2 linked regions of the Drosophila melanogaster genome follow. Each later gene encodes a partner of the first gene's protein in a complex. Each region holds a gene or a part of one and is shown on either strand. Other genes may lie near its edges.

What was found. Proteins that work in one complex are often made in the same cells at the same time.
Region 2: Spase25 (region 1) and Spase12 share a complex: the UniProt entries of both Drosophila melanogaster proteins name them as parts of the signal peptidase complex.

The regions. Positions count from the first base shown.
Region 1 is NC_004354.4:11,483,319-11,487,081, forward strand, and holds Spase25 (spase 25-subunit), read left to right. Parts: upstream 1-1,931; 5' UTR 1,932-2,074; coding exon 2,075-2,113; intron 2,114-2,242; coding exon 2,243-2,803; 3' UTR 2,804-3,248; downstream 3,249-3,763. Other genes in the region: Uba5 (Ubiquitin-like activating enzyme 5), read left to right, coding at 336-616, 728-1,661; CG33235 (uncharacterized protein), read right to left, coding at 3,451-3,763. UniProt on the Drosophila melanogaster protein: Component of the signal peptidase complex (SPC) which catalyzes the cleavage of N-terminal signal sequences from nascent proteins as they are translocated into the lumen of the endoplasmic reticulum.
Region 2 is NT_033777.3:29,489,995-29,492,747, forward strand, and holds Spase12 (spase 12-subunit), read right to left. Parts: upstream 1,157-2,753; 5' UTR 1,045-1,156; coding exon 1,021-1,044; exon of another isoform or gene 963-1,020; coding exon 816-962; exon of another isoform or gene 760-815; coding exon 634-759; 3' UTR 550-633; downstream 1-549. Other genes in the region: CG2006 (uncharacterized protein), read left to right, coding at 1-534; CG2310 (uncharacterized protein), read right to left, coding at 1,754-2,115, 2,177-2,244, 2,402-2,727. UniProt on the Drosophila melanogaster protein: Component of the signal peptidase complex (SPC) which catalyzes the cleavage of N-terminal signal sequences from nascent proteins as they are translocated into the lumen of the endoplasmic reticulum.

The DNA of each region.
Region 1 (3,763 bases):
TGACAGCCATTTGGTTGCTGTTATTACTCGTCTTCTATTTTATGCGTCTTAAAATTCAAATATGCGCGCCATTCGTAGCATTAACCAACACTGTACCAGCTGGCAATGTAAATTGGTATATTTTTGGTATATAACTATCGACCCTCGGCCATCACTAACATGCAGCGTTGCCCCATCCCATCTAACGCAAGTACCAAACTAATTTGGCCATCTGGCAGCACTGGTCAAAAGTGACACGGCGACAACCAGCTTAAAAGCGAAAGTTAACAATTAACAATTGCTGGCGTCCATAGCCAAACACACGAGCCAGAAACTGGAGCCACCCCAAAGCCAGAATGTCGCACGCCATCGACGAACTGCAGGCGATCATCGCCGATCTGAAGACGGAGCTGGAGACGGAGCCGAAATCCAGTGGCGGCGTCGCTAGCAACAGCCGCCTGGCACGCGATCGCATCGATCGCATGTCCGCCGAGGTGGTGGACTCCAATCCGTACAGCCGCCTGATGGCCCTGCAGCGGATGAACATCGTCAAGGACTACGAGCGCATTCGCTACAAGGCGGTGGCCATTGTGGGCGTGGGCGGCGTGGGAAGCGTCACCGCCGACATGCTTACACGGTGCGTGCACAACAAGAAGAGAAGGGCAACAGTCATTGTGCACCACAGCTAGCACTCCAAATATGTTGTCTTTAATTAAAGGCTATGTATTAATCAATTGATTTCCTGCAGCTGCGGCATTGGCAAACTGATACTCTTCGACTACGACAAAGTGGAGCTGGCCAACATGAACAGACTGTTCTTTACGCCCGATCAGGCGGGCCTCTCCAAAGTTGCGGCCGCCGCCGCTACCCTGAGCTTTATCAATCCGGACGTGGAGATTGAGACGCACAACTACAATATTACAACGGTGGAGAACTTTGATCGCTTCCTGGACACAATATCGCAGGGCGGACGGATAGCTGGCCAGCCGGTGGATCTGGTGCTCAGCTGTGTGGACAATTTTGAGGCACGAATGGCAATCAATGCAGCGTGCAATGAACGCAATCTCAACTGGTTTGAGTCGGGAGTTTCGGAAAATGCCGTCTCGGGGCACATTCAGTTTATCCGTCCTGGCGATACCGCCTGTTTCGCTTGTGCACCACCCTTGGTGGTGGCCGAGAACATCGACGAGAAGACGCTGAAGAGAGAGGGCGTGTGCGCCGCTTCATTGCCCACAACTATGGGCATTACGGCTGGCTTCCTTGTCCAGAACGCATTAAAGTATCTGCTGAATTTCGGCGAGGTCTCTGACTATCTGGGCTACAATGCCCTTAGCGACTTCTTTCCCAAGATGACGCTCAAACCGAATCCGCAGTGCGATGACAGAAACTGTTTAGTTCGGCAAAAAGAGTTCCAAGCCAGGCCCAAACCTGTGCTGATCGAAGAGAAGGCAGTCAGCGAAGAGCCGCTGCATGCCACCAACGAATGGGGCATCGAACTGGTCGCCGAGGATGCGCCAGAAAGTAATACAACGCCCGCCGAAACCCCAGTGATGGGTGAAGGGCTGAGGCTCGCCTACGAGGCTCCTGAGAAGTCCAGCGAAACGTCAGAGGAAACTGTATCTGCAGCTACCGCGGACGAAACCAGTCTGGAAGACCTGATGGCGCAAATGAAGTCCATGTAAATTGATTCCGTACTCCGTATTTATAGACACTTTTTGTAAAACACACACTTTTTTTTTGATAAACTCAGCTTCGATTTGTGTAAAACTTGGGCCGAGCCATTTTTTATTTATTTATATATAGTAACTTTTAGTCACTTGATTAAATGCTTTATGCTCAAAATTATTTGAATTACGCGGGAAATTTCAATTCTTGCAGTTTCTAGTATTTCAGTATTTTAAGCTTCCCCTATCTGGCAGCACGGTCAACTAGTCCGTTATCGATTGGCAGCGATAACGATTGACAATTTTGTTGTCGCGTTGTCACACAAAAACGAAGAAAACTCCTGAAAAAAGAAAAAAGAGTTTTTCTGAGCATTTCGCAAACTTCTCTTGGAAATCAAGGGCATCAAAACACAATAGAGAGCAGATAGAAGATGGGCAAGAAGGATGAAAAGTCACAGCAAGGCGAGGAGGTGAGTAAACCGGTTGCCGGCTTGGCATTTGGTCCATTAAGATGTGTTCCACGTCATTGTAGAATGTAAATGTAAACTAAGTGAATATGTGCATAAACTAACTCCATCCTGTTTCATGTGCCCTGCCAGCTGGTGAAGGTCAACAAGTGGGATGGATCCGCAGTGAAGCACGCCCTCGATGATGCAGTGAAAACCTGCCTCCTTGGCGATCGTCCCCAGCTGAAGGAGCAATTCGGCCTGGTCAACACCCGTTTGGCCCTCTGCGCCCTCGCCGTTTCCGTGGCTATAATGGCCCATGCTTGGGACTTCACCCACCCCTTCCCGGAATCCCGTCCAGTGCTCCTCTTCAGTGTTTTGGCCTACTTTGCACTCCTCGGCATTCTGACCCTGCACTCCAGTTTCCGCGAGAAGGGCACCTTTGCGGTGGCCCTGCAGAAGGACAAGGAGCGGGAGCGCCTGTGGGAGGCCAGCTCCGATATGCGCAAGTACGACGACAAGTACCTGCTGACCCTCAGTGTTCGCGACACGAAAAATGGCAAGCGGCGCGAGCAGAGCAGCAACAAGTCGTGCGCCGCCTTCATCGATCAGAATGGCATCGTCCTGGACAACCTGGTGGCCAACGAGGTCAACCGTCTGTTCAACGCCTTAGCTGCCGACAAGAAGAACGCTAGCAGCCTTTCTTCTAATTAAACCAAATTCCCCACTTTTGTCTCATTAAATTGTACACTTTTGTGGTAAGCCGACTGTTTGTCTTTTGTAATAAGCGGAAAAACTATAATATAAAATGAATTCTTTGATTTACAGCTTAACATAAATTGTCTGAATCTGATAGAAACTTAACCAATGATTTGTGGACTATTTTATTATAATTTCATGGGTTCAGCTGCAAAAATCTAAAAGTTAAGAGGGCGGGGATTCCGGTGGCGGCAGAGGAAGAGGAGAGGGTGCCCAAACTGGAACTGGCGGCGATGGGGAAACCCATATTGCGCTGATAAGGCCATTGATATTAATTCCATATTTAACCTGGCTGCCTTCCCAGAAGTTAAACATCAAAATTGGGAGTTGTCGATGTCAAAACGTTTATATATATATATCAATGTTTTTATATTCCAAAAGCTCATATTTGTGACATACTAAAGATTTTGGCTACAAGAGAGTAATGTACGTAATGTAAAGTCTATATGTACGACTAACTCATGTGTTTTTAAAAGATTATTCTATTTGTTATTATATTTATTCACAATGTGGAGATGTCCCAATCCAAGTGTACCCAGAAATCCGAGTGTTTTTGACCTTCTTCCTGCGGCGCTCCGGCTTCCTTTGTCATCATCATCTTTTTATTTTTTCAGATATCTGTATGGGGCACTACGGTTCCTTTTCCCATTTCCCATTACCATCTTCTCTTTAATTTCTACATATTTCTTATGTCTTTCCAAAGCCTCAATTTCTGACATCTTCTGGGCCATTTTCTTTTTCATAATCATCTGCTTTTCTAACACCTTTGCTGCCATTGTATCCTTGGCCGTCTTTAGAGCCTCCAATTTTCCCTTAGCAATCTTTAGTGTCTTCCCGCATTGCCGGTCCTTCGACTTCTTTTTTTGCACTTTCCCCTTGGCCATCTTCGGCTTTTGCAAGTTTAGCTTTTCCTCT
Region 2 (2,753 bases), on another chromosome or scaffold:
ACCATGCTGCGCAGGCGAATGGACGAGGTGGAGGTAAAGGAGCTGCAGGAGGAGGTAGATGAGCCGGAGACGGTGCGACGAACCTGGACGCTAGACAACCTGCCCGTCCGCCGAGCCGTCTTCATAGACAGCACATGGAACCAGAGTCGCGGGATCTACGCGGACGCCAGGGTGCGCGGCCTACGAACGGTGGTGCTGCAGAATCGACTGTCGCAATTCTGGCGCCACCAGCGCGGCAGTCCGCGCTGGTATCTGGCCACCATCGAGGCCATTCACCAGTTCCTCCTGGAGGTGCACATCAATGCCTGGGGCCTGAACACCGCCTATCGCGGACTCGATAACCTGGAGATCACCGCGGGCTTCCATCAGCTGGCAGAGCCGCTGACCAAGACAGCTGCCAGTGAGAATGTGGGCAGGGAGGCGCCCTACAATGGGCAGTACGACAATCTGCTCTTCTTCTTCGCCCACATGTACGATCTCATCCACAAGTACTATGACCACAACGACCTCATCGCCTACCGACGACCCATCTAGCGTTCTAATGGACATACATATGTATATATATATATTATATTGGATGTAGTGAGAAGTACACGTAACTGCTGGCCTAACTAACTACTGATCCCACTGATTCTACTGCTTCTTCTTCTTCTTGCCCTCGTCGCCGGACTCGGAGCTCGACGACTTGGCGTCCGTATCGATGGGTTTCTGCCATTTGAGCGCATTGCGACGGTACAGCGGCCACGGTGGAATGGTGATCTGTGCAGGAATCTCGTGCTGTTAGCAATGGAGCTACTAACACGACAGCTACTCACCAGCGAGGAGAGCACAAATCCGGCGCCCAGGATGTACACGGTCTGTGAGAACTGCTGCACGAAGGCTCCGTAGACGAGGCCCACAATTCCGAAGAACGTGATGATGAAGCGCGACCAGCGCTCCGCCTTTCCCTGACCCGCGAAGTCCTGCGGCGGTAGAGTGCCGTGTTAGTGTTATGTGCTAATGGTTGCGAAGCATACCTACCATATGCGTCTGGATGTCCAACATTTTGTGCAATTCACAAGCTGCGATTCAACAATTTTCGGCGTAAACAATTTTCTTTTGCGGCACGTCAGCAGCCGAATGGTGTGACCGTGCCGAGCGAAAAATGCCAAGGGGATGAGAATATACTGGAATTTGGAACTCGGTGAATTTCCCATTATTTTTGTACATGCTTATTTCCCTCTTTTTCAAAATAAGTGTGTTTGAAAAATAGCGAAATTGTTTGTAGCTTTCAATTGTGTTTTATTATTTTAAATTTAAAATATGCAAACAAAACGGAGATTATTACTCTCTAAATGATGTTTTCCTTTGCAGAGTAAGCTCTTGAAACAAAATAAATAAGTTCAGTTCACCTTTTCTTATGCAAAATATGTAAAATAAGTTTATAGAAGGCAAAAATGTTGCATCTTTAAATGATTTATATAATTTTAAACCACGCCAATTAATGCAAACTAATAGCCCATTTAAAATACTTAACTTCATTTACATATATGTATGCATGCATATCTTTAATGCAATTATAGTCATTTTATTGAAAAGGCTTGCGATGTGAATAATCGCTCGTTGTTCATACATATGTATATTATTTGTACAATGCGTTCATAACGTGGACGTTCTGGCTTGTGTGTCACTATAACTAACTAAATAAGTTAAAAGGCGAACAGGTGGAATGTAAAGTGTAGAGGACCTCGCGCCTCCCGATTCATGGCAGGACTCAGACCCTGGCGGCCTTCGTGCGCCGCAGCTGGACGACATTGATCACGCAGACGAGCAGCCATGCGAGCAGTGCGATCCAGGCAAAGACCAGGGTGAAGTACAGGCAGGCGGCCGTATTGATGCGCCCGTAGCGTCGCCGCTCGTACGACACGCTCTCCACCAGATAGTCCATGAAGTCGAAGACGGCGGCGCACGAGAGCCGCGACTTGATCACGGGCACAATGTTGCCCACGCCCTGGATCTCCTTCAGCAGCGACTCCCTGTACTGCTTGCAAGTCACCTCGAAGCCATCCGTGAACACGGCCGAGTAGACCAGTTGGTAGACGGCCATTATTGTCGAGATGACGGTGGCGGGCAGCCCTAAATTAGTTAAGTATTACACATTTGTACATAGTTAAGTTCGGAGACGATGGACACTCACAGTAGTAGGGCGAGAGACCATCGGGCGTGAGTTCCGACTCGGTGGTCACCACGATCATGTCACCGGAGCTGCAAGCAGAGAGCAGAGAGGCGTAAGCAAACAGTTGATGCTGCTCCAAGTTGGAGCCCATGATGGCATTACTCATAGCCAGACAGACGAACGAGTGTGGCTGGCCGATTAACCCCATTGACCCGCCGACACTCGATCGCGATCGCCCGCTCTTACCGCTGACGGATGGTGGCCGTGCCCGCCTTGGGCTTGCCCCGACCGATGCACATGCGGTAGCCGTGGTAGACGCCCAGGACGACGGCGAAGAGCAGCGGCAGCAGCAGGCCGTAGGTGGCGAAGTGGCAGTAGGCGACGTTGCCGCCCTCGAAGCTGTGGAACGTGCTCTTGCCGTGCAGCACGCAGCCGCAATTGGTGTCCGGGCAGGCATTGAGCACGTACTGCCAGTGTGTCCAGGCCACCGCCGAGGTGATGCAGCAGACCAGCGATGAAACGATGGCCAGCGGGTAGAGTAGGGACAGGGCTCGCTCCGCGTAGTACGACATCGTGCGAATGGTATCTGCTCGCAGGA